Oryctolagus cuniculus: one gene and its partners. The protein of the gene in region 2 purifies or fractionates together with the protein of the main gene of each other region. This does not show direct contact. Links are inferred from orthologs where the notes say so. Each region holds a gene or a part of one and is shown on either strand. Other genes may lie near its edges.

Region 1 (4,293 bases), about 4.1 Mb from region 2:
CCTCACTTCTGTCTTGCATCATTGCGTATTTGGAGATGACCTCGTCTAGGCGGCTCAAGGCCAAGGTCCGGTTTTCCCGAAGGCGCCGGGCCAAGGCAGGATCTGACAGTGCAGGGTCAATGCCTACATGGGAAGATATGACAGCAGAGCACTCAGCCCACACCCTGGCAGAGAGGGCGAGCGGTCCCCTCTGCCTCCGACGGGCACCCCGCTAACCCGCTACCTGGCCTGTAGTCATCCGTGAGGTGGCAGCCGAAGTTGTAGATGAGGTCGAGATGGCGTCGCTCCTGTAGCCTGACGCCCACATCTCGGAAGGCGTCCTGGGCCATGAGCTGGAGCTGCTGGCGCGGGAGGCCGAGGCTGTGCCGGACAGCTGCCTTCTCTACGGCCCGCAGCACATCACCGTAGTCGGGGAAGGTGTCGGGGCCTGGCTTGTTGATGAGCCGCTCGATGCGCCTGTTGACCTCTGGGTAGCGGGTGCCGCGGTAGGGGATGCGCTGCTCTATGACCCGGCCGGTCAGCGAAGAGCAGTCTTTCAGCTCGCACAGTCGCCCAAAGAGGCGGATCAGCTTCCGCTTCAAGCGCGACTCCTGCAGGTACGTGGAGTCTGGGTCATCCAGTTCTGACAGATCCAGCTCCTTCTCCTGCAGCCTCCGGATCTCCGCCACGTACAGTGCCAGCAGCTGCTCTAGGCGCTGGATCTGCCGGCGGGAGCCACGGGTCCTTGGGGCCTCGGAGACAGCGGCCTCAGCATTGCCGGGCTCCGAGGCCGGGTCTGCAGAAGTATTACTCCCAGAGGGCTCACTGGAGGCGGTGGCAGCAGGAGCGAAGTTCAGCTTCTTCTTGGCTGAGTGGGCCTTGAGAACGGTGCAGAGCTCGTTGATGTAGACGTAGAGCTTGGCGGGCCGGCTCCGGGCCCGGGACAGGACCCGAGAGAGGATGTTGCAGAACTCGGCTGAGGCCAAAAACACAGAGTGGGCACGCTGCTGCCGACTGGAGAGGAACGGGACCACCTCAGGGTGGTCCGCTGTCTGCGTCTTACACAGTTCAAGGAACTGGAGGGTTCGGGGGAAGAAGAGAGCGGACAAGAGACAAGGGAGGGGGTTGAGAGAGAGAAGGGGGGGTGCAGTTAGTGGGGGAGAGAGGACCAGAGAGCCAGTGCGCCATCCCCCTCCCTGGGGTATAAGAATCTTCTCCCCTAAAGCTCACCTCTTCAAACAGCTTCTCATTCTCCAACTTGTAGCATTTCTTGCCGCCAGAACTACTGCTTCCTCCGGCCCCATGGGGCTCAGAGGAGCCAGGGGCTTCTGCCTGGGGTGAGGCCGGAGTGGGGGGTGGGTGGGAGGGCCCTGGCTGAGCGACTGCTTCATCTTCGTCATCATCATCCAGCACAATGATGCTGTTAGCGGTGGCCATGAGGGATCAAATCCCCCGGAGGGAGGAAGTGTTGGGGGTTTCAGAATTCCTGCTGGAAGGGGATGGGGCCTCAGAAAGAGCCCCTCCAGCATAGCCCCTCCCTTCAGCTCAGTTTCCAATCTCCGTGGGTTTCAGCAACACCCAGCCCTGCCCAACAGTGTCCTCACTGCCTGTCTTCTGCAACCATTAGCTCTGGATGCCTTCCCGGGCCCTTCAAGTGGCCCAGGACAGGGAACCGCAAACATTCAATCGCCACACCCAGCTCTACCTCTCACATTGGCTTCCGGTCTTTCTGTTCCATCTCCCCACTATTTCTCATAGTTGTCAAGTTGGTTCTTCCAACCCCAGTCCCGCTTCCCAGATTCCCATGACACCCTCACACACGGAAAACACACTCGCTCTGGCTGCCTCACGTCTGGCCCCTTTCACCCCGAAACATGTCAAACCCATACCCCACCCTTAATGATCACCCCAACTCCTAGACAATCCAACAGTCCTCTCAACGATCCATTCTCCTTTCCCCTCCTGCTATTAACTCCGTATTTCACCCTCTGATGGGCTTCTTCAAACCAGGGCACTGGGTTGGAGTATGACACCTCAAGAGCCCTCCCTCTCACCCCACCCTGATTTTACCTGGTCGCTCTCTGTGACTTGTAACCGATCGTGAGACCTACAGTGGGCTCTCCCGATTCTTCTCGGATCCCACCCTTGAGTCGCGCCGGCAGGGTAGATGAGCTTCCCGCCAAGTCCCCCTCCCCCAGGTCAGACCCCTAGCCGCCCCACTTCCCTTCAGGAATAAGGTACCAGAGCATGCCTCTCAGACTCAGAGCCCGCGTCTCCCCAGTACCGCCTCCTCGATATCCCCTCCCCCGTTTTCGCTCCCCACACAGTCCGGCCCGCACCTCAGAAACGGTCTCACGAGACGACCCTCGCCGCTGATCTCAGAACCTCGCATGGTTCCCTCCGCCTTCCTTCCCCCTCCCACCGCAGGCCCCACTACAGACCGGAAGCCGCGGAGTTTCCGCCTACACGCGTATAAGCGCGGCCATATTGTCGTACGGAGCCCAGCCTTCCTGCTTCCGGAAGGCCCCACCGAGCGTGCCTAGTACCGCCCACCTAGCCCGCGACTCCCTTCCCCCTGACCTGTAGGGGGCGGGGCCTGCCCCTTCAGGGCGTCCCGAAGTTGCTGGGGGCCGCCATTTTGTTGTACGGCCCCAGCTCTGCAGTGACTTGGGCCCTCAGCCGGCGGAGCTATTTTCACCTGGTGCTTCTGGGACTCCGCCAATCAGAAACTTCCTGCCTCGAGCCCAACCGCCAGCTAGTCGCGTGCCGAGACCACTGAGCCACCTTTCCCAGGGGTGGGAGGGGGGCAGTGGAATAGGCTGGCTGAAGAACTGGGGTCGCCAAGGCTGTGCATGGCTTCAGGAAAGGGCAGGCGTGTCTAAACGGGGAAATAAAACCTTTTCCTTCCGCTGGGCAATTAGTGAGGCTTCCGGTCCTGCTTTCCTATCTCCCAGGTACCGGTTTCCACCGCTTAATGGGCTTTGCGCCCCTCGCCGCTGCCCGGCCGCCGCTTCCACTTCCAGGTGCTACGTCCCCGGCCGGGAAATGTCGACGCATGCGTACAAACGAGCACCGCGCTCCCTGAAGGTGGTGGTGGTGGTATTACTATCGCTACGTTGTTGTTGACTGGCTTTCCGAGCTCCGCCTCAGAACTAATCAGCGTCCAAGCCGGCGGGACCCGAGCGGCGCTGCGCTGTTCTCCGAGTGGGGCCTGGACGCTGCGGCGGCATCGGCCCCTCGAGGCTCTGTCGTGGGGTCCGGGGGCTGGGGGGAGCAGCTGGGCGATGGCCCCCGCGCGTGCGGGGAGACGCGGTGGTCTCCTGCTCCTCAGGGAGAGCCGAGGACAGAGTGAGGAAGGAGCCGGAGGAGACGCCTCGCGTGGGGGAGGCCGGGCCGCGTCCCGAGGCGCGCTTGCGGGGACAGCGCGAAGCCCACGCGCGGGTGGTGGCCTCCTGCCTCAGGCCCGCGGCCTTGCATCCCTGACGCTTCCTTTGAGAATCCCTGTCACTTCTCGCCAGTCGTCCAGGCCTACAGCCTTCAAATTGAGCAACAAAACTCGCCAAGACCACTGGGTCTTGACAAAGAGGATTTAAGTTTCAGATCCTCAGCTTTCCCAAAATTGGGCTCCCAGAGCGAGCGCCTGCGGTAGAGGTTCTCCCTCTTCCTTCCCCTTCACAATGGACTTTCTCCATCTTATAATAATTCACAGCCGTGAAGTTGCCTGGGTCTCTTACCTGGCTGAAGTCAAAAGACACGTGGTCTATTTCAGCGATGCACCATGAACACAATCTTCTAGCTTATTAAAAATTCGTAATGCAAAAATTTGCACAATCTTTGTGCTGCTTGATAAATTCGTTTTTCATAATTGTAACGATAAATATTTTTAACAAAGAGTCAAAATCGCAAGAAAGACTTTTTTATTTAAAAAAATGTTTTTTATTTGACAGGTAGAGTTAGAGACAGAGAGAAAGGTCTTCCTTACGTTGGTTCACCCCCCAAATGGCCACTACGGCTGGCGCTGTGCCGATCCGAAGCCAGGAGCCAGGTGCTTCCTCCTGGTCTCCCATGCGGGTGCAGGGCCCAGGCACTTGGGCCATCCTCCACTGCCTTCCCGGGCCACAGCAGAGAGCTGTACTGGAAGAGGAGCAACCGGGACTAGAACCCGGCGCCCATATGGGATGCCGGCGCCGCAGGTGGAGGATTAACCAAGTGAGCCACGGCGCCGGCCCCAAGAAAGACATTTTTCATCTCAATTAGTATATATGTACCTTCAGGAAAACGTAAGAGGTTGGTCAATAAAAGATTTTCAAATAT
Region 2 (4,166 bases):
CCTCGACCCGCCAGCAGCCGGCTTGCCCTGGACGCCCGGGGCCAGAGTCCCCCCTCCACGCTCACCGATTCGGGTCGTAGCCCCGCGGACCCAGGCCCTGGGAAGGCTGCTGATTAAGCCTGCGGATGTGATGGGTCACAGACTCCCCGTCCGAGGTGTCAGTCTGCTCCTCCCGCCGCTCCCGGCTCCCGCTGCGGCTGTTGGAACTGGAGCGCAGCCCATCTTGAAGTCCTGCGGGGAGGGGCCGGTGACGCCAGCGCTGGCCGGCTCTCAGGGGCCATAAGACCCCCCCCCCACGCCCCCGCCCCGGCCCCAGCCCCGGGAGGCCTGGCTCCCCTCCACCCACCCAACTTCCTCCGCGGCTCGGCCCTCCCAGCCACGCGCCCCAGGACCCCTCCGGATGTGCGCGGGGGCAGTCGCTGCTCCAGGGAGCTGCGGGAACGGCTTCCCCTCCCCCAGCTCCCCATCCTCGCCCACCCCTTCCAGCTATGGGGGAACCCCTCCACGGCCGCCCGCGCACCTCGGCGCGCGCTCGCCGCCCCCTCCCACGCCCCCTCCCCAGGTGCAGCGGGCACACCCCTCCCTCAGAGGTGCGGGAGCCCGAGCCCCGCCCCCTCCGCCCGCTCCCGCACTGACCTCGCTTCCGTTCGCGCTTGTCCTGCAGCTGCTTCTTCTTCTGCTTCACGCTGAAGGGCTTCTTCCTCGGCATGGCCCGGACCAGTCACCGGGCCCGCCCCTCCGCCGAGCTCCCGCCGCCTCAACTGACTCCCGGGGGCAGCCCCCGCCGCCAGGGCCCGGGACCCTCGAGGAGGCGGGGCTAGCGGGTGACGTCACGGACGGGCCGGGCCGGCCGGCGGCGACTGCCGGGACGGAAAGCAGACACGGGGTGGTCACGTCTCTCCCGGAGCGAGGCGAGGGGCTGAGGGGACGGGGCAGGCGGCCGGCACGTGAGAGTCAGCGGCACCGGCGGGGCGCAGCGGCGGTGGAGGAGGAGGCGCGCGTGGGAGGATCGGGCCCGCTCCGTCACGGACGCTACCAACGGGCGCCCGCAGGAGGGGGGGCGCGTGTCATCACTACCTTGCGCTCCCGGGAGACGCTACCACTCACCTGGCGGGGGCGGCGGAGCGGAGGGCGGGCCCAGCTACCTTCGGAGGGAGGGGGCGGGGACGCGCCGAGGCGACAGCACCGAGCGGGGATTGGCCTGGGTGGAAAGCGGAGACGGAGCACCCCGAGAGGGAAGCCCGCTTGCTGGCGACTCGTGGGGCACGGCCGGAGGTCTTAAGGGGCGGGTGGCGTTCTGCCGGTTCCCGGGCGCGGACCTGCTGGGACCCGAATTTCGATGCTAACGGGCGGGTCTGCAGATCCCAAGCGCGGGCGGGAAGGGAGACCCAGGTGGGACAAGGACTTTTGGAGGGAGGTCAGAGGGCACCGAGTTGTGCCTGCGGCTGTTCCCATGGTAACAGGGCACCGGAAGTGGCGACGTTAGGACGCGACAGCCCGCTCTCAGGCCGTCCGGCCCGGAAGCCCGTGGGCTCTGCAGCACACTGTGGTGTTTCTTGGCGGAGGAGAGGGCACTTGTAAGCACTTGGAGAGATGCAGCAAAGGTAAGGTTTGAGGTTGCCGCCGTGCCTAGCAGAGCGGGAGCGGGGCGGTTTTCGGGCGGGTGCGGCCGCGGCAGGGGCTCCCCGCTGCCTCCCGGAAGTGGAATGGCGGGAGCCTCAGCCCCGCTGCCCACCGGGCTCCCCCCGGAAGCGGAAACAGCTTCCAGCGTGCCCCTTCCTCACTGCCCTCCAAATCCCGCTGCAGCCATTGCCGCAGCCACGATGCCGAAACGAAAGAAGCAGAATCCGCAGCCGCCGCCACAGCAGCCCCCACGGCCCGAGCGGGAGGAGACTGGAGACGAGGAAGATGGTTGTCCCATGGGTAAGGGAGCGCACGTTCTCGGCAGCTGGGCCAGGCTGGGGCCAGGGACTAGGCAGGTGCGGGGGAGGGGGCGCTCACGGAAGGCGCGAGGGCGCACGCGCAGGGGAAGGGGCTGTCCTGCATGCAGCTTTAAGCCAGGAGTTTACTCACCTGAACTCCTGGCCTTTATCCGGCCCCCAAACCTTTCTGGAGGAGGCGGGGGAGGAAAAGCTAAAGTGCGGAGTGCGCAGCCGCAGGAGGAGAGGTGCGCGATGTTGCAGGCTGTGGCGGGTGGGAGCGCAGTCTGAGATCAAACTAGGAGGGTAGAATGCAGTGCGGCCGCCTTTTAAGCACTCCCCTGGGGGAGGGGGAGGGGAAAAGAGCTGTTTGATTGGCCAGCAGTTCAGGTGGGGGATTGAATTAGCCCTGGAATTACCTAGGATGTTGTGGTTGCACCAGTATGAGGGAAAGACAGTGGTCAGCGTCATTCCTGCATGACCGGGTTTCCTGAGTCTCTGCTTTCTAGCAGAACATGGAAACAGCTTGGCAGAGGAAAGGGCCCACAGATGGGGTGAGAATGTGCAACACTGATGATACATAGCTCACTTCGCTGATTGAGTTAAGGAGTGCATTCTAGAAGGACATCTGAGGACAGGATCATAGCCCATTCTGATGACGGTATTTTCATGTCTACTCTTAGGACCACCCAGCCTTCTGGGCCCTCCCCCCATGGCCAATGGAAAGCCTGGTGACCCCAAGTCAGGTGAGGAGGAGGGGACCCGGATCCTTGTATTAGATGCTGGAGAAGGGTGCAAGAGGAGAAGTGAAACCTAGCAAGAATTTCACATCTTACAATCCAGGATTCGATGCCTAAGTGAATGGAGAGAAGTTATGCATTCACAGACTGGAAAAGTCATAATATTGGCGTGAAAATGCAGGGAATCAGGGTGAGAGACTGTAAAGACAGTGTAAGTGAGAGGGCTACTCTGAACATCAAGATTTTTTGTAAAGCTACAGTGGTTACAGCTGTGACTTTGATGCAACAGAACAGATTAAAAAGGCAAGTAACAGGCCCACACATAATGAAAGTGCCTCAAAAAATTGATGGAAAACAGTTAAAACATAAGTTTATCTTGGTGCCTAAAATTTTCAAAGTGCATGCATGGTTTTTTCCTAATATGTGTTTTCTGTGAATTTTTTGACGTCTTCGTGTGTGAGCTCTTCATTTATAAAGATAGAACTGAAAAAGTGGTCTTTTCGATAAATGATGCTAGATCAGTTGGATAGTCGTGTAGGAAACGAATGGAATTTAACCTCCTCACAGTCTTAAAAATAACAGTACTAGTTGGACTGCAGATCTAAGTATAAAAGGTAAAAGAAAAATTATTGTAGAAAGTAAGTGTATATTCTTGGTCTTAGAGTAGCTAACAGTTCTTAGATGAGAAATACACATACACAAATTATAAAGAAAAGATTACTATATTCAACTACATTAGGTAACATAAACTTCTTTTAATCAGATGACATTGATTAACAGGAAGCCATAGAGTAGAAGACGGTATGTTCAACAAATATAACCAATAAAGAGCTCTTATCTGGAATATAAGAAGAACTCTTCCAGACAGTTCATTAGAAAAATTGGCAGAAGACCAGAACAGATTCTGGAGATCTTAATGGACCCAAACTGTGTGAACTAGTAGTCAACATCATTAGTCATCAAATACAGAATGAAAATATACCACGTTGGAGTTGGAACTCGTATGCATTATTGATGGGATTGTAAAATGGTACAAGCACTATGGAAAACAATATGGAATTTCTTCAAAAACTTAGAACTGCCATATGATCCAGTCCCACTTGTGGATATATATCCAAAATTATTGAAAGCAGGGTCTTGAGGAGATGTTTGCCCACCCATGTTCGTAGAGTATTCCCAGTAGGCAAGACCTGGAAGCATCCCAAATGTCCATTGATAGAAGAATGGATAAGCGAAGATAAAAGTACAATGGAATACCTTAAAAAAGGAAGAAAATGCTGTCACATAACTACAACCCAGATGAACTTGGAGGACTTTCTAAGTGAAACAAGCCCGTCACAGACAAATGCTGTATGATTCCACTTACATGAGGTATCTCAAGTCAAACTCATAGAAACAATAGAATGGTGGCTACCAGGGGCTGGGGGGCAGAGGGATGGAGGAAAGGGAATTGTTTAATGGGTACGGAGTTTTAGTTTTGCAACAGACAGTTCTGAAGATCTGTTTC
Region 3 (4,299 bases), on a different chromosome or scaffold from region 2:
TCCAAGCCCACTGCCACCGTGGCCTCTGCACGTGCTGTGCCCTGTCCCGGATCCTGAGGCCTGTCATGTCACGACACAGAGCAGCCTGGCTCCCCAGACTAAGGCCGTGACCCCATACAGCCATGTCTCCGTAGCAGCCCGGTGACCACTGGTCACTCCCTCACTTAGTTTCTGAGTAACCCTGCTCCCACTAGCACGCGGGCTCCCTGAGGGTGGGACCCACAGCGCTCTCAGCACGGCGTGGCCTGCCGTGAACACAGCCCATGATCAGCACCTGAGGAAATGAGCAAGGCACCAAACGAGGAAATCGGTTTCCCTGAAGCCACACAGCAAGCTGACCCCTGAATGTACGCGGGGCTGGCGTTGTGGCACAGCAGGTTAAGCTGCTGCCTGCAATGTGGGACCCCACATAGGAGTGTGGGTTCAAGTCCCAGCCTCCTGCCAGTGTGCATGGAAAAGCAGAAGGTGGCTCAAGTACTTGGGACCCTGCCACCCACGTATGAGACCAGGATGGAGTTTCTGGCTCCTAGCTTTGTCCTGGCTTAGCCCAAGCCATTACTGACAACTGGGGAGTAAACCAGCAAACGAAAGAGCATCTCCCCCCACCCCCATCACTCTGCATTTCAAATCTAAAACGCAGAATCATCAATAATAAATGTGCAAATCCTGTTTGTTTTTTAAGATTTATTTATTTGAAAAAGTGAGTACTTCCATCCATTGGCTCATTGCCCAAACTGGCTGGGCCAATCCGAAGGCAGGAGCCAGGAGCTTCCGGGTCTCCCACATGGGTGCAGGGTCCCAAGCACTTGGACCACTCTCTGCAGCTTTCCCAGGCCACAGCAGAGAGCTGGATCGGAAGTGGAGCAGCCGGGACGCGAACTCGCGTTTTACTGGCTCCTTCCCAGCACCAGGCCCTAAAGCTCGTGTTTTCTGCATCAATAAACTGCGTGACTATTACAGCGATTGCAATTCGGGAGTGCCAGCCGCGTGCAAGGCTCTCCACACTCTGCACTCTTTGCCCTCTTACCGCCCCTCCAACGCCCCAGGATGCGGAGGCACAGCCAGGCTGCGACCTGTGCCTGCAGCCTCACCTTTCCGGTCCACCACGGCCGCCCTCAGCACGTCCACCAGCTGCTCCCGGCTGAGGGTCTCGGACGGCAGCAGGCCCGGGAAAGGCTGGTCCCCAGGCGGCCGCGACCTGCAAAGGATGCGGCTGAGCGGCAGGGGCGTCGCTCACCTCCCCCGATGCCCGCGTCCCGGCCCTCCCGCGCCTGCCGCCTCTGACGCGCACCCCGAGCGCCGGGCCGAGCTCCCCGCGTGTCCCCGTCCCGCGGGGCCGCACTTCGCAGCCGAGACTCGGGGCGAGCCGGGACACACGATCGCGACCCCGCCCCAGCCTCCCTCCTACACAGAGCAGGGTCTGTGGCAATCACCGGGCCTCGGCGCCAAAGCCTGCATCCCGGGTCGCCGCGCGCGCCCCTGTCCATCGCCGCCAGCCGCCCCCGACGCGGCCCAAGGCCCGGGTGCCGCTCATCGCCCGAGCCGGGACAGTGCGCATGCGCGCCCCGAAGGCGGCCCCGCGGCCCCTCGCCGCGCGCTGATTGGTCAGCTCTGACCGTCCCTCGGCCGAGCGAGCCGGGCGCCGTTTTCTGACGGTCCCGGAGTCCCGGCGTTCGCGTGAGCACGTGCTGTCAGGGAGGCTGAGGAACCGGAGCAGCGGGATTCACCCTCGGCCGGAGGGCCTGACTTAGGACCAAGCCGGGGTGAGGGGTCAAGGTTGCCCGGCCGCCGCCCTGCCGCGTCCGTGAGGTCAGGGATGGATAGAGCCACAGCCGCTAGGCGAGCGACGCGGGGGAGGCCAGGGCTCCGGGCGCTTTTCCGGGCAAAGCCTGGACTGTTTGTGGTGAGGCCTGCAGGGAAAATGAGCCTCGTGGGTCGCGAGTTAGGAGTGTGTTTAATCCACTTAGATGCTTCCTTAAGAGGAAAGATGGCCGCCGGGAGCCGGCTTCCGCATCCGGGTCTCCGGCGGGGGGCGGAGCTCCGGGTCCCGGCCGCAGGAGGCGGGGTCTCGGGTCGGGGCGCTCGGGGCCGGGTGGGCGCGCGGGGCCGGGTGGGCGCTGGCCCGGGTCTGGCGGCCCCTCCCCGGCTTCTGCAGTGCTGACCCCGCATTCGCGTGCGGGAAGTGACCGCCTAGACACAGGCCCGCGGCGGGAAGTTGACCAGGGTGACGAGACCTGGCGCCACACCCCGCCGCCATCTTGGTCACGCCATGGCGGTGCTCGGCCGCCGGGGGGAACTGGTTCACCACGGCCCGTGTCGCGCGCCGTGGGTTAAGCCGCTGCCTGATAGCGGCACGCCGCAGGGGAGTGCCCGGTGCCCGCCCCGGCTGCTCGCTTCCCCTCCAGCTCCCTGCTGTGGTCAAGGAAACTGGACGGTGACCCAAGTGCTCGGGCCCCTGCGCTCACGTCGGGGACCCAGAAAAAACTCGTGGCGTCCGCGTTCTCCCTCTCCTAACCTCTAACTTCTCTCTGTAGCTCTGCCTTTCAGAGTAATACTCTTATTTTTTAAAGATTTGTTTATTACAGACACAATCTTCCACCTGCTCGTTAGCGCCCCAGGTGGCCACAGCACTGGTCCAAACCAAGCCAGCAGCTTCATCTGAGTCTCCTGCTGGGTGGCAGGGCCAAGCACTTGGACCATTTTCCACTGCTTTTCTCAGGCCGTCGGCAGGGAGCTGGATCGGAAGTGGAGCAGCCGGGACTCAAACCGGCGCCCGCATGGGATGCTGGCACTGCAATGCCACAATAAATCTTTTTTAAAATGTGAAAGATAAGTTTATTTTGATGTAAGAACAGTTTTAAGTGTTTTTTTTTTTTAAAGATTTTATTTAATTGAGAGGTAGAGATACAGAGGGAGAGAGACGGAAGAGGTCTTTCATCTGCTGGTTCTTTTCCCAGATGGCCTCAATGGCCAGAGCTGGGCCAATCCAGAGCCAGGAGCTTCTTCTGGGTCTCCTGTCCTTGCAGCCGGGGTCTAAGCACTCGGGCCGTCTTCCGCTGCTTTCCCACGCACATTAGCAGGGAGCTGGATCAAAAGAGGAGCAGCCAGGACATGAACTGGCGTCCACATGGGATGCCAGTGCCACAGGCTGAGATGTAGCCCCTGCACCACAGCACGGGCCCCAGTCTTTGAAAATTCACCAGGAGGAAAAGGTGGGAAGACAGAGGTGGGGGAGCAGAGTGAAAAAGTAAGAGAAATAACTATAGAAGCAAAGAACAGAATGGGTTCTGTCCTACGATTAGAGTATGTAAAAGTTACAGGCAAGCGGTGTGCTTTTTAAAGGTTTATTTTTTTGAAAGGCAGAGTTACAGAGGAGAGATGGAGAGTGCCCATTCACACACCAGATGGCCTCCAGTGGCGGTGCCGTACCAGGCAGAAGCCAGGAGCCTGGTTCACTCCCCAGATGGCCCAAACAACCAGGACTGAGCCAGGAGCCAGAGCTGCTTCTGGATCTCCCACGGGGCAGCAGGGCCCCAAGCACTTGAGCCAACCTTCGCCGCTTTCTCAGACGTGTTGGCAAGGAGTTGGATGGGAAGTGGAGCGGCCAGGATGGTGTTGGAGGCCAGGGCTTTAACCCACTGAGCCGCAGCACTGGGGCCTGCAAGGCTGTATCCTTTGTGTGTTTAATTCACTGACGGCACTAGGATTTCTAATTTGTTGTTTCCGTTAGCAATAACCTACCAATAAAGCTAAATCCATACATGGGCAAGTGGCTAAATCGGTTGTAAAACATCTGTCCCACGGAGCCGTGGATTGTAGAGTAGGCAGGTCTCTGTGAAGTTGTGAATCACTCCATATTCAAACATTAAAAGGGATGCTGTGAGTCAGATATGAGTGTGTGGATGTGATGTCTGTTTGTGCATTATAGTGATACATTTCTCTGCTTTTGAAGGGATACACAAATGGATGAGTTTGCATCCAGTGATGGAATAAGGCCGAGGAAGACAAGTAATCATGTTTACTCTTTGGAACTGCTTATATTTGTTCCATCGTTGATCAGTTTCTTTGCATGCATGCACAGAGAGAGTTTAAAAATCTGTCAAGAGGCAGGTTTTGGGCTCGAGGTTACGATTCTTTCCTCCTTTATCCAAATGCCTGGATTTGAGTCCTGGTGCCGCCCTATTCCAGCTTCCTACGAATGTGCACCCTGATAGGCAGCCATGATGGCGGGGTCGAGGGAGACCTGGATGGAGTTCCTGGCTCCTCACCTCAGCCTGGCCCAGCCTCGCTGTGTAGGCA
Region 4 (4,036 bases), on a different chromosome or scaffold from region 2:
AAATGTTGAACAAAGTCAGGCATTCTAGTTCAGTTTGATTTTCCCTGTGCTGTTAAGATTCTGAAAACCAATATGACAAAACAAAATAATGAAGATCTACTTGATAACAAATGAGTTTTTCGTTGCACTTTATTAAATGTGCAAGGCCATCAGTTTGAGAATGCTTTCTTTTATACCTGTCCTATTTTAGTATCGCTCTGCAGGCTGCTTTGGGGACCAATTACTCCATTACATTATATCCAGTTATGTAGTGAGCCGAACCACCGTTCGTCTGGGGCTGTCTAGAGCGGTGACAATTAGGAGATGGAGAGAGGCAGAGGGAGATTGATTTTATATGTCACCGAAGCACGCTGCAACAATATGCCGGCGTGACTTTCAAAATGGCCTTAAAATATTCCAAACTCAGGGAGTTTCCTTGCTCCTGAGTGGGAGTTGACAGACTGTCTGGCAGTATTTGAAAGAGGCAAAGAGCTGATGTCTATATTGTGTCCTCTAATCACATCCTGTCTCTTTGCGGCATCCCTCCCCTTGGAAGGAGCCGTCTGTTTGTTGTAAGGCGCGCGCGCGTTTGTGTGTGTGTGTGTGTGTGTGTGTGTGTGTTCCCCTTGGAAGGAGCCGTCTGTTTGTTATGAGGCGTGTGTGTGTGCGTGTGTGTGTGTGTGTGCGCTCGCGCGCGCGCGCACCCGCGCGCCTGTGAGCATTGCCTCCCCCTGGTGCAGGGGCATGATTTCACCTCTCACAACCGGGAAAACCAAACGGAAGGACACTCACCCTCCCAAGGTCACCTAGAAAATTAGTGTAGTGGTCTGGGGTGGGGGCGAGACAGAACCCGCGCGACCCCACTCCAGCTTTGTGCTGGGCACTAAATCATTTTCCTTTCCATTTCGGGGGAAAGAAAGAAAAAAAAAAGCATCAGTCCGCGGGGTGTGCGGAGGGGGGGGGAGTGAGAGATTAATCAGATTTCCTCTTTTCCCGTACCTCCCCTCCCCCCTACGAAGCCAAGAACTCCAGAGAGCAGAAGAGGTGCCCTCTCCACCCCCGCCCCCACGCCGACACAAAGCGGTCTGGGATCGCAGGGCTCCCGCCGTCCTACCCGAGCCGGGGAGGTGAGCGGCGCTCCCAACTCTGCCCTCACCTCCAGCGGGTCCCGGGCTCCGCGGCGCGCAGGCCCCGCCCCCGCCCGCCCTTCCCCCACGGCCTCGGCCCGCCAGCCCCTCTCCCTGCTCCAGTCGGGCGCACCCACCCCAGATGCCGCCTGGCACCGAGCGCAGCCGCCGCCGCCGCCGCCGCAGCCGCAGCAGCACTTTCCACTTGTATTGATCCCCTCCCCGCCCCGCGCCGCCTGCTCGCCGAGCGGAGCGCGGCCCGCGCGCCAGCCCTTGGCAGCCCCGGCGCAGTCGGGCACCGGGAGGAAACTCCTTGGGAGCGCCCTGTCCGGGGTGCCCTCTGCGCGCTGCAGTGTCTTTCTCTCTGCTCGGGAGGAGGAGGAGGAGGAGAAGGAGGAGGAGGAGGAGGCGGAGGACGTCTGGTCCCGGCTGGGAGGTGGAGCAGCGGCAGCAGCAGCAGCCGCCGAGGCAGCCGCCGCCGCCGCCGCCGCCGCCGCCGCCGCCGCCGCCGGAAAGGGAGAGGCAGGAGCGATCGAGACTTGGAAACCCCAAAGTGTCCGCGACCCTGCACGGCAGGCTTCCTTCCAGCTTCATGGGCAAAGTGTGGAAACAGCAGATGTACCCTCAGTACGCCACCTACTACTACCCCCAGTATCTGCAAGCTAAGGTAAGGGGGCGCCGGCCGAGGGGCGGCGGGGGCGCGCGCGGGGTCGGCCCGGGAGAGGCGCGCGGCGCCCCCCGCCGCCCCGGGCGGAGTTGATGGAAGGTTGCTAACTATAGCGCTGGCCTGGGCAGAGCCGCGCTGCGCTGGGCGGCGGCTTCCCGGGGCGCCGATTGCGGGGATCGGGTTACAGAAAGCCGCGGGGGGAGAGACCAGACAGGAAAGAGCCGCCAGCCCCTTCCTGGCCCGGGAGGACGCGACGAGGGTCGAGGGGCCGAGCGGCGCCCTGCGCCCGGTGCTGCCCGGCCGGCGGCCGACGCCTGGGGCCCGCGGCGCCCGGACCCCCTCTCCAGGGCCTCGCCCACTGAGCAGTAACTCTTCTCTTCCCCGGGAGCGGCGCGGGGCCTCCCGCCCCCAGGGACGCCCCTCTACCTCGTGCGCGCGCGTCGACCGGGGCTGCAGGGCGGGGTGGGGGTGGGGGGCCGGGACGTTTTCCTGCCCGCCTCCGGCCCTGCGCGCCCGCCCCTCGCCTCTGATCTTTGTGCGGTGTGGCACTTCACCTGGTTACTGATTTCTACTTTTACGCTGGTGTTTTGGGTAGAAAAGTGGCCAAAGTTCACTCAGTGTTCATTGATGTCCCTTTGAATCTTTTCTGTGGCTTTTTTTTTTTTTTTTTTTTTTTGCAAAGGGGGGATAATGGGCAGATTTCAGCGCAGAGAAAGAAGTGAGTTTGTATTTAGTTAAAACAGGAAGAAAAAAACCCACCTCCTGTGTTTTACCACCGATCGATTTCCAGTGGTGTTTTTCCAAAAGTGGCCTGCATGCACTCTTGAGTTCCAGCAGCTGATGACATGTAGCCATGCCAATTACGACCGGTTTGGGGGGGCCCTGGGTACTTTGTTTAGAGGGCCTATCTCATATTCACTGTAAGAATGTGATGCCTTCTGAACTCATTAACAAAAGAAGGAGAAGAGGAACAAAGTTGGGTACGTGAAGAGTGGCGATTTCTGCTTTAGAAGCTTCTGCCACGGTTTGGAAGGGCGGAAGTTGGATGCAGCAGGCTCCTTAAGCCGTTAACATCTAGCACAGCTCCGCGTGCCTTTCTAGCTCAGAAAACGACCAGGTATGGATGCTGTGCCTGAACTTCCGTCGAGAGAGAAGGCAACCATGACCGGCTGGCTGGCACACTGGGCATCACTGGCCTGACTCGAAGAATCTCAGGTTCAGCCTTGAACTGTAAGAAAGTCTCTTAGAATGTGTGTGGTCCGTGTTGCATGTACCTGCAACACAGACCTGTATTTGCAAAAAGGACACTTGTCGGCATCAAGGCCAAGAATGTCCAAGCACTCCAGGGTCTCTTTCTCACTCCCCACATCACCCCCTCCTCACTTCTTGTTTTACTTTGAGTCACCAGAAAGCTGCAGGAGGGTACCAGCAAGGAAACCCATCTGTTCATTTCTGTGTGGTTCTGACGGGTTTGTTTTCAGGAACTTGGGAGATGCTCGATTTTGGGGGGTGCTCCATTGTAACTGTACAAAGAAATTTTGTGGCATAATCAATGCCCTACCTTTTAGATGTCTTATATATTTAATGCACTTGTTTAAATTATGCAGCATTGGGTGCCTGAAAGACAGCCTATTCAACACTTAACTATATGAATAATAAATACATACACTCAGGTGAAGAAGAAAATAAAAGCTGTGTTTCTACAGGCACATTTACCTTGGTAATTTTTATGTACCATTAGTAAGTTAGAAACCAAGTACCTAACATTTAATATAGCTAATGCAATGCCATTTGGCTTTTTTTGCCCTGTAAATAATTGAAGAGAGAGACAAACGACAAGAGCCTTCTCTGGTAATTAGGGTCGGATCCCAGAAAGCTTTAGGGCCCATTTTCTGAAAGTGTGCTTCCTGCATAAAGCATTTAATATTGATTTGTATTTCAGTAAATGACATTCTCAAAACGTATTTTGCTGTTTCTACTATGAAATCTGAAATCCTAATACTCTGGGTCTCTTTGTTTCCAAAGAGAGGTACATATACTCACTTGACCTATATAGCATCGTATTAAAGTTTGGTAATGAAATCTCAATTCCCGATGGTAAAAGTATCTTGATTATCTCAGTAAGGGACATCACCTGAAACTGAGAAGTGATTAGATGCAGATTTTAGGTAAGCAGGGTTTGCAACATGTAGACTTTTTCTTTTCCTCTCTCACACGTCTATTAGTAACAATGTAATAGTGTAGTTTAAAAAGATAGGCTTTG
Region 5 (3,559 bases), on a different chromosome or scaffold from region 2:
ACCTGAAAGCTGGCTGCCACGCCCCAGGGCCACGTGGCCCCTGTAGATGGAGGAGGGATAGCGCCTCTCCTCACCCTCAGTGGTGGCTGCACAGGAACCCGGAGGCCCACCTGTAGCAGTGGCCAGGCTCTGTCCGGCCCGCCCGGCCTGCCCGCTGGTCGGCCGACGCCTGGGAGATCCAGGTGACGCGGAAGGAGGACACGCCCGTGACACGGTCATAGTAGCGCTTCTTGACCTTGCCACAGTCCACCACGTACTTGATGCCGGGGATGGTGAGGGACGTCTCGGCCACGTTGGTGGCCACCACACACAGCCGAGTGCCCTCTGGGGGTGGCCTGAAGACCTAGCGTTGAGGGGTGGGGGTGGGTGGCCAAGTCCATCCCTCCTGGGCCCCAGTGTCCTCTCAGAACCCCAGGCACTGCCCAACTTCAGCACTGGCTCGCCCCCGCCCCCACGCCCGGAGCACCGTTACCTGCGCCTGCTTCTCTGGGGCCAGCAGCGAGTAGAGCGGGAGCACGTGGAGGGGGAGGGAGGCGTCCAGCTGCTCGCCTGCAGGGAGCAGAGGCTGCCGACAGCCCTGGACGGGACAGACCGCCCCGCACCCTCCACCAGCCCTACTGCCAGGGGCTCAGCCGTGAGATGGGCGAGGCAGGCAGGCAAAGCCTGGGGACCGGGGACAGACTCCCGAGGGTTCTCCCGTCACAGCTGCCACTGGGATTCCCTTCTCCCAGGCTGGTCCCATTGAAGTTGGGGTCAGCCTGTGGGGTGCCCCCCACAGCCCTAGGCTGCACACAGTTCATATACGGCCAGGCACCCCCCAGCACCCCTGAGGCCTGTGTCCACACAACAGAGTGGGCCTGGGCGTGGTGCCCCCATGACACTCAACACCACAGGAATTGAAGCCCCCCACGCACCAGGCAGTCTTAGGAGCTCAGGGTGCAGCGTGGACAAAGCAGCTAGCAAGGCCAGCTCTCCCGCAGCTCACACGAGGACCCGAGGGTGGGATCTGGGTTCTTTGTAGCTGCCTCCCAGCGGGGGCTCCACACACTTGCAGACGAAGGACCTGAGTGAGGTTGAGAGTGGGACGCACCTCCGTCCGCCTCGTCATCCCCCAAGTCCAGATCGAGGTCGGAGCCCAGGGCCGCCTCCTCGTCGTCCATCTCTGCCTCCCGGTCCTCGTCGCCCTCGCCCGCCGGCAACACCGAGTAGTTATCCAGGTTGATCGGGGGCAGTGTCTACACTCAACGAGACACAAAGAGCATGGGCTGCGGGCGCCCCGCTGCGGATGGCGTCGTGCACAGCACAAGCAAGCCCACGCACCCTGTGGGCCCCGGGACCCTCGGGCGGCCACTAAACATATCTGTTTCCTCACCCGAGAACTGGGGTTCACCTCCTGGGGCTGCTCTCAACACTGAAGTGCAACAGGTGAGAGCAAGAGGGGAGTCCACGCCGCCACCTGGGGGAGCCCTCCCAGCAGCCTCTGCTCCCACTCCCCAGCAGGGGATCGGCACAGGCCCTGCTCGGGGTGCCCGGGGCCCAGCAGCTCCGCGTGGTGCACCCAGGAGACAGGATTTCCCATTTCACTCCAATCCAGGGTGGGCTGGCGGCCACCAAGCTGGACACTGCGGCCCTGCAGCCCGAGCCCCCAGCACACCCCAGCCTACCGAGCCGGCACGAGCCTTTCTCGCCCTGGCCCGCGACTTCTTGAACTTCCGCATTTCTTCCGCCGAGTCTTTCTCGTCTTCCTTTTCTGCAAATGAGGGGAGGTGGGGAGAGACACCTGTGGCCAGGGCAGGGCAGAGCGCTTTGCTCCTTGTCACCCAGCAAAGCCACTGCCCGCGACCACTTAATTCAGGGGTGCGGAAGAGGCCGCCGACTCCAGAGGGAGAGGCGGGGCAGCCGGCTGAGCCCCAGACGGGGGCAGTGGGGGACTGAGCATGCGCACCCTGGTTACCTTTGGCCTGGGGCCTGGAGGGTGGGAAGGCCTTCCTGAGCCTGCGGCACAGAGCGTGCACCTCGGCCTGCCCCGTCAGGAACACCAGGATGCCACCTGTGGGAAGAGCCAGGCTCCGGTGTTACCCATCAGTCACTCAGCAAACACTTCCTTAGCAACCAGCACTGAGACACAGGGCCCCAGGGAGCCAGACGGCACAGTCATGGGCGGACGAGTCACCCCCAGATGGAGGTGCCGTGAGACCCCACGGTGCCACTCCTGAGCACGGGTCCACGAGGACTGGCCAGAGGTCTCACGGGAGCCTGCGCACGTGTTCAGACCCCAGGCTGCGGGGAGGCTCCTCGCTGCGAGCACCTGGTGCAGCCCAGAGTCTCCAGACAGCGGCCGTGCACCCAGGAGGCCCTGCACCGAGACAACTTAGCAGGACAGGCACAGCGAGCGGGGACACGGGGTCTCACGTGTGCTGGAAGCACCCTGCCACTCTCAGCCTTGCAGCAGGGGCAAAGCAGCCTGGAGCCCAGCTTTGGAAGACCAGAGTCTCTGGTGAGAAGTGACCACAGCTACCACAGCTGCTGGGTTTTGGGGCTGTGTGTGCGCTAAGTGGCGCCGGCGCCCAGGACCATGGTTTCCTTTGGATGTCAATCCACTCTATCCTCCCAGCCAAGGGCAAGCCGGTTTGGTGACACCAGCTAAGTAAGGGGACACAGCCCTCCCCCTGGACCGTGCGTGGGCACCTGCCTGCGCCCAGGTGTTCTGCCATCAGGGCGGACGCAAACCCAGCCCTCAGCTGCCTGCTCCAGTCCACACTGGAGGCTCGCACTATTCTGGGCAGAAAGAGGCCGGGCAGGTGCTGCGAACACTCCAGAACCAGGGAAGAAACAGGCACGGCAAGGATGGGAGTGTCACCAACCCCTCAGGGAGGGGCCGGGAGCCTGGGCCTCAGCCCCCGCCAGGCCCACCTGCAGGCAACATCCGGTGGATCTTGCACACCTTCCGGAAGCACTCGCCACTGTAGTCTTCCAGTGGGGTCCTCTTGTTAAAATGCACCGTCACCGGGAACTGCCGGGACTCCACCTGCAGGGGCAAGAGAAGACGTGGGGGGTGCTGCAGCCAGGAGTACCCCCCTCTCCCCGATCTTGCTGCTTGTGTTTGAAACTGTGTTTATTTGACGGGCAGAGTTAGAGAGGGAGGGAGAGACAGAGATCTCCATCCGCTAGTTCACTCCCCAAATGGCCACAATGGCTGGGCTGGCCCAGGCTGAAGCCCGGAGGCAGGAACTCCATCCTGGTGTCCCATGTGGGTGGTGTCCATGGCTGCCTTCCCAGGCGCACCAACAGGGAGCTGGATCCCTGACCTGGGCCACAGCCTACAAACGCACACCTCTCCGCGTGACAAAGTGAGGTCCACCAGGAGCCTCCTCCCCCTGGTGAGGCTCAGAGGCCCCAGGAATTACCTTGATGACGGGGGGCGGCTGGGCGAAGAGCCGCTGGTTCTGGGTGAAGTCCTCTACCCGCAGCGTGGCCGACATGATGAGCAGCCTCAGCGGCAGGTGCCTCTGTGGGGGACAGGCCTGGCGACTCAGGTGCGGGCAGGCCTGCAGCCGCA
Region 6 (3,559 bases), on a different chromosome or scaffold from region 2:
AAAACAGAATAGTTACATAACAAGACACATTTACCACCAATCACTTCTTGGAGGCAACAAAGTAGCTGAAAACCACCATTGGTAATCACTCAAAGTCAATTCTCCATATTCTAATTATTCTATAAAATCTAACACTTTATGATCAGATAAAATTGATATTAGGGGCAGGTATCTGGCACAGTGGATAAGCTGCAGTTAGGAGGCCTGCATCCAACATCAGAGTACCCAGGGTACATTCCCAGCTCCAGTTCCTGACTCCAGTTTCTGCAAATGTGGACTCAGAAAGGCAGCAATGATCGATCAATCAGCTGGGTTCCCACCACCCATATGAGAGACCTAGCTTGGGTTCTCAGGTCCTGGCTTCAGCCCCCCAGCCCATAGCATTTCAGGAGTGAACCAGTGAATGGGGGCAAGCTCACTTGTATGAGCTCTCTTCCTGGCACTCGCTGCCTCTATTTCTTTCTGCCTATCAAATAAATAAATTTCAAATTTATCACCAATTCATACTCAAACACTATGAAAGTCATTGGGTTTACAAAACCCCTAGGAGAACTAAGTGTCAAACAACCTAAATGATCAGCTATGAGATATATTCACATTCTCAGGTAAACCTGCCAATTTTATTCCACACAAGTGTGAGTAGTTTCAATTACGCCATCCTAATCCACTTGTATCTAGGAATTCTGCCACTGTAGTCTTCCAATCATAGTCTCTGTATCAACCTCCTGATCTGAGAATGGAAACTTGGATTTCTAGGAATGACCCTCTATGCAGCATAAAAAGCTCCCTTTTGAAAATCAGTTTTCTTGCTTTAGGTGTAATTCGAAGACCAAAGCAATAATTATCCTGTTTTAGAAGAAGCAGGGGGAAAGCAAAGAACAGATAGGAATTCTACTCCAAATATCCCAGTAATTACTATTCAACTGCCATACTATAATATATAGTATTTAACACCCAATTAATAGCAAACAGCCATCCACTGTTCCATAGCACTCATAACAGAACTTTTGATTATTTTTAAGAATTATGTACGTGAATATATGCATATTATGTATGTGCATATATGTATATGCAATACTGGCATACCGTATGGGCACAAGTTCTTGTCCCAGCTATTCCACTTCCAATCGAGTTCCCTGCTAATGGCCTAGGAAAGTCAAGTACTTGGGCCCCTGGCACCCACATAGGGGTAGGGGATGAAGTTCCTGGCTCCTGGCTTCTGCCTGGCCCAGCCCTGGAGGTTGTAGCCATCTGCGGAGTGAACCAACAGATGGAAGATCTCTGTGTGTGTGTGTGTGTGTGTGTGTATACATGTGTATCTCCCTCTAACTCTTTCAAATAAATAAATCTTAAAAAAATAATGTATTTTAGAAAAATCTTACATGCCTGAAAAAGTACTTTCAACACAAAGTTGAGCTCTCTCTGTATATACTTCTTAAATTTTAAAATAAAGAGTAAAAAATCAATAGATATTAAATTCAAGATAATTTTCTTCCAACCTTTGTTCTGTAAACTTTAGACAACGTTCAAATAAAATTTTAGAGCATTCTCTGTCCAATATATGATTTAAAGATAAGGAGCTCAGTATGAAAAAATAAGCATGAGTATTAAATATAATATTCATCTAAGGAGAAAATGAGGGGAAAACATGTAAAGAAAGATTGATATTTTTAACATATTAACAGCAAGAAGTATTTTTCTGGGCTATTAGTTAAATGTGACCTCAGTTTAAAAGTTTACTGTATATGAGTGAAACACACATCTTTGTGATTTGATTACTGTTTAAAGCCCTTGCCTACATTCCTGCTGAACTATGGTCTTTTTATTTCTTATTTGTTAAACTCTTTATTTAGCGGAGCATTAAGGTTTTGACTATAATAATAATAATTAAAATAGAAAACTAATGAAATTATTTTCTATCTCTTTAAACTGCTACACTTTACCCAGAAATGCGTTCAACACAGCATTTTCAGAAACAAGCCCCAGCACTAGTACCTGGAAGGCTCTGAGAAGCGCCATGTGGTCACTGAAAGTTCCTGCAGTGAAACGCTTCCTGCAAAGCATCGCTGCACGCTTTTGAGAGGCCTGGGTGGGCAGCACAAAAGGATCTCGGTAGGCCAGAGTGCAGGCAATTGTAAGAATGGGATCCAGACACTTCAGAACAACAGCGCACAGCACCATTTTGCCAAGATGTGGCTCGACTGGCAAGTCAGCCAAGTGATATCCAAGTTCAGTCAGATCTTCCCAGGCATCCATTGCATCTATTGTCTAAATAAAAGGATACAGAAAAGAAGCTGACATGACCAAACACTGTTTAACCACACCACATACTTAAAAATCCATAAGTAAAAAAATATAAAATCTTTTGTCACATAAAAATATTTCACTTCAAATATATTATACTTACATAAAAGAACAATACACTGTATTACCTACTATTAACTACTGTGACAGTATTATTTAGAGTGCATGATACACTAAAATGTTTTCAAAGTATAAATAGGTTATATATCCTCATTCAGTTTAAATCTTAAATTTAAAAAAAGCTAGGAACTATTAAGACACTTACCTTCAGCATCTGTACAGCATTTCTTACAATCAAAGCTGGCGGGGGTTCAGGAGCTTTCATAAGGAAGTCAGCAACGGCACAATTAACTGGGGCTAACAGCTTGGTATGTAAACAAAGTTCCTTTAAATCAAAACAGTAAAGAATGTACTTTAGACTTTTACCTGTAAATGAATTACACAAACTACAGCTCCCAAACACAGACTAGAAAGCTTCTTATTAAACTGAACAGCAGAAGGAACAACATCTTCCTATGAAACATGGGCTCACAACTAGCCTGATCGGCCAGAATCCTCATCAGCACCATCAGTCAACTCGTACCATTGTCCCTTCTGGCTACATCTCCTCACAGAATTCTTAGATACAGGGGCTGGTGCTGTGGCTTAGTGGCTAAAGCCACCACCTGCAGTGACAGCATCCCATATGGATGCCAGTTCAAGACCCAGCTGCTCCTCTTTTGATCCTGCTCTCTGTTATGGCCTGGGAAAGCAGTAGAAGATGGCCCAAGTACTTGGGCCCCTACATCCACATATAGGCCATTTGGGGAGTGAATCAGCAGGTAGAAGATCTCTCTGCCTCTGCCTCTCTGTAACTCTGCCTTTCAAATAAATAAATAAAGCTTAACAAAAAAAAAAAGAATTCTTATATACAACTGTTAGAGCACTATTCAAAAAATAAATCTTTTCCCTGCTTTTTTTATACTTACTACATCCTAGAATCTTTTATTTGTTCAACCATACTTAAGTGCTCTCTAGGTTCATGGCATTATGCAGCAAGTTGTAGAAGAGGAACACAGACAAGTGTCTGTACTCATGGAGTTTACACTGTTGTGTAAAAACAGACCTGAAATAGCTAATTATATAATTAACAACTTTATTAGAATTGTGGTAAGTGCTATGAAATTACAGGGAGGCAAAGAGTGACCGAAGCAAATTCAAGAAACAGCAAGGGCCAGCACTGTGGCACAGTGGGTTAAGGTCCTGATCTGCAGTG
Region 7 (4,233 bases), on a different chromosome or scaffold from region 2:
CATATTTGGACTCTTGCCATAACAGCAAAGGAAGAACTTCTACCCATCCTGTCACTAGACTTCTATCCCAGCAGAGTAAGGATGGACCTTTGCTACAGATATCAAGAGTTTACGGCACAGTAAGCTTTTTAGTGTTACATGCTAACACCTCCAAACACTTAGCATAAAGTTAACTAACTTGTGCCCCAACCACCAACAATATGGGGTATAGCATATTGTGTAAAAATGAAATCAGTGTTAAACTAGCTGTCACCTAACAAGATTTGTGATCTCAGGGGCCGGCACTATGGCACAGCGGGTTAAAGCCCTGGCCTGAAGCACCGGCATCCCATATGGGCCCCAGTTCTAGTACTGGTTGCTCCCCTTCCCATCCAGCTCTCTGCTATGCCCTGGGAAAGCCGTACAAGATGGCCCAAGTCCTTGGGCTCCTGAACGAACCCCTGTGGGAGACTCAGAAGAAGCTCCTGGATCCTGGCTTCAGATCGGGGCAGCTCTGACCGTTGCAGTCGTCTGGGGAATGAACCAGCGGATGGAAGACCTCCCTCTCAGCCTCTACCTCTCTCTGTAACTCTTTCAAATAAATAAAATAAATCTTTAAAAAAAATTGTGATCTTGCACATATTTAACCATTAGAAGTCTCACTTTCCTCAAGTGCAAAATGGGGCTGACAGCAGGATATGCCTTGGTAGGAACTAGATTACATAGAAGGATTTTCTTCCTTAATTTTGAAAATTTATTTTTAAACACAGAGAGAGAATCTCCTGTTGATTCACTCCTCAAATCCCAGCAACAGCAGGGGTGAAGCCAAGCCTAAGTCAGGGACTGGTCATTTAACCCGGGTCCCCTACGTGACAGGGACCCGAGGACTTGGGCCATCACCTGCTGCCTAGCAGGGTGTGCACCAGCAAGAAACTGGAATGCGGAACCCAGGAACTCTGATATGGGATGCTGACTTCCCAACAGACCCCAAGGAGAAGTTCCTAGCACATTACCTAGCATGTGGGCGTTCTCAGCAAGCGTTAGCGTTAGCTTATTGCTAACTGACGAGAAACTGACAACTAATTAAACTGTTAACTAAATTATTAATTTACTACCTTTAGTAGTTTAAATCTGGTTTCCTCACCTTTTCATTACTGCATTCTCCGGTTCACAGAGGAAAACAACTCCAGATTCAGTTCTACAGGGAGAAAAGCAACCAGATTTTGACAGCCGAAAGCCCGCCTCCGTCCCTCATGCCCCGCCCCCTCAATTTCGGGCTCTGCAGCACCCCCTTTCCGCCGATCAGGTCGGACCTGACTTCCAAGTCCCGCCCACGAACGGCTTCCGCCGCGAGTAGATTTACATATCGACTGCTTATTGGCTACTAATGAGCACTCCTTCTTCTCATTGGTTGATGCTGTCTCGAGCGAAATCCCGGAGGAAGTTCCGCGCGTCGTTGGGAGCTGAGGGTCACTTTCGTTTCTGTTTCCGGTTCGCCTGCGAAGGCATGGCGGCTGCGTCGGGAAAGAGGTTGCCCTCGATATTGGGCAGATGGCGCCGCGGGCTTCGAATGGCCCCCCAGTCCCGGGTGAGTACCTACTTTCTCTGCTCCCGAAGAAGCTCTGGGACCCTAGAGACAGCTGCGCTCCAAGAAGGAGCTGTTTGGCAGCCGCTTCCTTTAATTGAGAGCCCTCAGTCTTCCTTTGTGGCTGGCACCCAGCTTTCCTTTCTCGGCTTCCAGGCGCTGGCGGCCCTTGTTCGCGGCGTGAGTCAGGTAGATAACAAGTCCGATTTTCTGGGGAAGAAGCCTCACCGTCGGCACCCTGGCATCCTACGTCTGCCGTGCGTGCAACTGCCACAGGCACTGGCTGACGCCGCCCAGCTACTGCTACTCCGTAAGTAACGGCGGGAAAGGGGTATCCGAGGAGAAAAAGAAATGGGCCTTTGCACACAGGTAATTCTGCTTTTCATCTCTGGCCTCCAGAGAACGCAGTGCCCAATGTGGAGAAGCATGTGCAAGCACTGACCAATTATCTCTGGAGCCGACACTTGCCCGTAGAACCTGAGGAGCTACAAAGACGGGCTGTGAGTCTGGAGAAAAAGTTCCTGGAAAACGCAGGTAGGATTGAAGACTGATGAAAGATTAGGCCGGATTGAAACTGGGGAATGAAGTGCAAGAGATAATTTTACAGTCTCTCAAATAGATATTGGAGTTTCTTATTTGACTTTCCACCTTACTGGAAGATAGATTTGTTCCAGAGACTACCCTTGGGACGTGAGGAAGGGACAGAGTATGGCAATTGAAATCTGGATCCCAGTTGGGACCATCTACTTTTTTTTTTTTTTTTTTTTGACAGGCAGAGTGGATAGTGAGAAAGAGAGAGAGAAAGGTCTTCCTTTTGCCGTTGGTTCACCCTCCAACGGCCACTGTGGCCGGCGCACGGCGCTGATCCGAAGGCAGGAGCCAGGTGCTTCTCCTGGTCTCCCATGGGGTGCAGGGCCCAAGGACTTGGGCCATCCTCCACTGCACTCCTTGGCCACAGCAGAGAGCTGGCCTGGAAGAGGGGCAACCGGGACTAGAACCCGGTGTGCCGGCACCGCTAGGTGGAGGATTAGCCTATTGAGCCGCAGCGCTGGCCCATTCTTATTAAGGTGAAAGTCCCTGTAAAGTTAACTGCCTAATGCTGAAAACCTCTGGGATTGGAGAATACATGTAATATATTCACGGTTGTGAGCTCCTTCGTCTTACAGACCTTTTATTTATCTTGTGTCCCCTACACCCCCCACAATCTGGCTCTGAATGGGCATTTAGTACATACTTGCCAAACACAATAGAGTCCCTTTTCCACCTATAGGAACATTCAAGATGTCACAGTCTTAAGTTTTGGGGAAGTGAGGAAATCCACAAAATAATTGTCCTTCTCTTATCCTTTAAATCTAAATTGTATTTTCCTTTATTATAGAAAAAAATTTGTTGGGTAGGGTCAGTTAAGTTGAATATACTGCTGTTGGAGGCAAATACTATCTCATACACTCTAGGGGTGCTGGTGGTGATTATCCTTAGCTGAAATTTTTCTCTAGGTTTGGCTGCTTTCTTGAGCTTTGAGGCTTTTCCAGTGGGAGAGGGGAGAACCGGGAGGGCAGTGAATTAAATATTGGATCTGGTCTCTGTTCTCCTTAGGTCCTCACTTCCAGTCCTTGTTCTCACCGCAGACTCATCCCAGACAGAAGAAAAGCTTCGTGGAGCAGTGCTACATGCCCTGCGCAAAACCACCTACCATTGGCAAGAACTGAGGTGAGGGGGACTAGAAAACATGCAGAAGGAAGAAAAGTTGGACTTGAAAAGGAGAATGGAGCCGCACAATTGCATGATCAATGCAGTGTTTGAAAAAGTGCCTGAGTGATAGTGATCCCCAGGACCACTCTGCCCTGGGGAGTGAAAAGCTAAAGTGGAAGAGCCCTTTCCAAGATCTTATTTCCTCGCAATGGTCAGCAGGTGTGACTCTGATTTTTGTGCAGCTACAATGAAGGACTGAGCCTGGTGTATATGGCAGCGAGACTGGATGGTGGCTTCGCGGCAGTCTCCAGGGCATTCCATGAGGTGAAAAATCTGTGTCTAACTTGAACGCTCTTACCTGCTGTTCCCTTATTGATTCATAATGTAGTCTGTACGGTAGGGATTCTTAGGGTGCTGCGTAGGCTTTTATGCTTTGCTTTTTTTTTTTCTTTCTTTCTTAAAGTTCTCTTGTCCTGTAAAAGGATTCTGTGACCCAAGAAAGGTTCAGAACCACTATTTTAGGAGCTTGTTGTTAAGTGTTTATGTTGAATCTCAGAATGTGTTCACATCTTTCTTCCTCTGTCATAGTCCCCTAATTCATATTTACTAAGGCACTAAATAAGTATCTGCTTACCATACTGTGGGGTGTTGTGTGTTTCTCCAGATCCGAACTCGAATTCCAGAGTTTCAGCCACAAACCTTAATGGACTTTGGCTCGGGTACTGGCTCTGTCACCTGGTGAGTAACTTGCTTCATCCCTTTCTCAAGTCTAGTTCTAGAAGGCCACACTTAACACCAATCCAGTATCAAGAACTTGAAAAACCACAGGAAAAATAGGAAAGTTGAGAACCTAGAATGTTTCTTCTCTCCGATTAGGCGAGGCAGAAGAAGGTATATGGGTTAGGGCCAGGATTTAAAAGAAGTATCATAGTGAAAAAAGACCCATATCTGAAAAGTTTAAAAGCAAAGGAATAATA

Evidence for each region.
Region 1: the proteins of PRR3 (region 2) and DAXX purify together in Homo sapiens (co-immunoprecipitation; 3 studies listed by BioGRID and IntAct, with this or other methods). This does not show direct contact. The link is inferred for Oryctolagus cuniculus from reciprocal best matches to the Homo sapiens genes PRR3 and DAXX.
Region 3: the proteins of PRR3 (region 2) and RPUSD3 purify together in Homo sapiens (co-immunoprecipitation; 3 studies listed by BioGRID and IntAct, with this or other methods). This does not show direct contact. The link is inferred for Oryctolagus cuniculus from reciprocal best matches to the Homo sapiens genes PRR3 and RPUSD3.
Region 4: the proteins of PRR3 (region 2) and RBMS1 purify together in Homo sapiens (co-immunoprecipitation; 3 studies listed by BioGRID and IntAct, with this or other methods). This does not show direct contact. The link is inferred for Oryctolagus cuniculus from reciprocal best matches to the Homo sapiens genes PRR3 and RBMS1.
Region 5: the proteins of PRR3 (region 2) and DHX37 purify together in Homo sapiens (co-immunoprecipitation; 3 studies listed by BioGRID and IntAct, with this or other methods). This does not show direct contact. The link is inferred for Oryctolagus cuniculus from reciprocal best matches to the Homo sapiens genes PRR3 and DHX37.
Region 6: the proteins of PRR3 (region 2) and YTHDC2 purify together in Homo sapiens (co-immunoprecipitation; 3 studies listed by BioGRID and IntAct, with this or other methods). This does not show direct contact. The link is inferred for Oryctolagus cuniculus from reciprocal best matches to the Homo sapiens genes PRR3 and YTHDC2.
Region 7: the proteins of PRR3 (region 2) and METTL17 purify together in Homo sapiens (co-immunoprecipitation; 3 studies listed by BioGRID and IntAct, with this or other methods). This does not show direct contact. The link is inferred for Oryctolagus cuniculus from reciprocal best matches to the Homo sapiens genes PRR3 and METTL17.

The regions. Positions count from the first base shown.
Region 1 is NC_091436.1:135,802,881-135,807,173, reverse strand, and holds the start of DAXX (death domain-associated protein 6), read right to left. Parts: upstream 2,817-4,293; 5' UTR 2,678-2,816; exon of another isoform or gene 2,560-2,677; intron 2,453-2,559; exon of another isoform or gene 2,319-2,452; intron 2,187-2,318; exon of another isoform or gene 2,050-2,186; intron 1,469-2,049; 5' UTR 1,417-1,468; coding exon 1,210-1,416; intron 1,056-1,209; coding exon 224-1,055; intron 124-223; coding exon 1-123. UniProt on the Homo sapiens protein: Transcription corepressor known to repress transcriptional potential of several sumoylated transcription factors. Down-regulates basal and activated transcription.
Region 2 is NC_091436.1:139,856,901-139,861,066, reverse strand, and holds the start of PRR3 (proline-rich protein 3), read left to right. Parts: upstream 1-1,310; 5' UTR 1,311-1,604; intron 1,605-1,806; 5' UTR 1,807-1,823; coding exon 1,824-1,923; intron 1,924-2,602; coding exon 2,603-2,665; intron 2,666-4,166. Other genes in the region: GNL1 (guanine nucleotide-binding protein-like 1), read right to left, coding at 66-231, 637-709.
Region 3 is NC_091441.1:116,871,527-116,875,825, reverse strand, and holds the start of RPUSD3 (mitochondrial mRNA pseudouridine synthase RPUSD3), read right to left. Parts: upstream 2,827-4,299; 5' UTR 1,559-2,826; coding exon 1,434-1,558; coding exon of another isoform or gene 1,409-1,433; intron 1,199-1,408; coding exon 1,092-1,198; intron 1-1,091. UniProt on the Homo sapiens protein: Catalyzes uridine to pseudouridine isomerization (pseudouridylation) of specific mitochondrial mRNAs (mt-mRNAs), a post-transcriptional modification necessary for their translation.
Region 4 is NC_091434.1:81,413,081-81,417,116, forward strand, and holds the start of RBMS1 (RNA-binding motif, single-stranded-interacting protein 1), read left to right. Parts: upstream 1-1,231; 5' UTR 1,232-1,698; coding exon 1,699-1,773; intron 1,774-4,036.
Region 5 is NC_091452.1:5,101,019-5,104,577, reverse strand, and holds part of DHX37 (probable ATP-dependent RNA helicase DHX37), read right to left. Parts: intron 3,510-3,559; coding exon 3,408-3,509; intron 3,029-3,407; coding exon 2,914-3,028; intron 2,051-2,913; coding exon 1,955-2,050; intron 1,751-1,954; coding exon 1,665-1,750; intron 1,236-1,664; coding exon 1,091-1,235; intron 550-1,090; coding exon 473-549; intron 344-472; coding exon 111-343; intron 1-110. UniProt on the Homo sapiens protein: ATP-binding RNA helicase that plays a role in maturation of the small ribosomal subunit in ribosome biogenesis. Required for the release of the U3 snoRNP from pre-ribosomal particles.
Region 6 is NC_091437.1:4,437,405-4,440,963, reverse strand, and holds part of YTHDC2 (3'-5' RNA helicase YTHDC2), read right to left. Parts: intron 2,690-3,559; coding exon 2,570-2,689; intron 2,269-2,569; coding exon 1,996-2,268; intron 1-1,995. UniProt on the Homo sapiens protein: 3'-5' RNA helicase that plays a key role in the male and female germline by promoting transition from mitotic to meiotic divisions in stem cells.
Region 7 is NC_091443.1:53,913,141-53,917,373, reverse strand, and holds the start of METTL17 (ribosome assembly protein METTL17, mitochondrial), read left to right. Parts: upstream 1-1,409; 5' UTR 1,410-1,486; coding exon 1,487-1,567; intron 1,568-1,720; coding exon 1,721-1,874; intron 1,875-1,963; coding exon 1,964-2,098; intron 2,099-3,192; coding exon 3,193-3,274; intron 3,275-3,498; coding exon 3,499-3,580; intron 3,581-3,920; coding exon 3,921-3,994; intron 3,995-4,233. UniProt on the Homo sapiens protein: Mitochondrial ribosome (mitoribosome) assembly factor. Binds at the interface of the head and body domains of the mitochondrial small ribosomal subunit (mt-SSU), occluding the mRNA channel and preventing compaction of the head domain towards the body.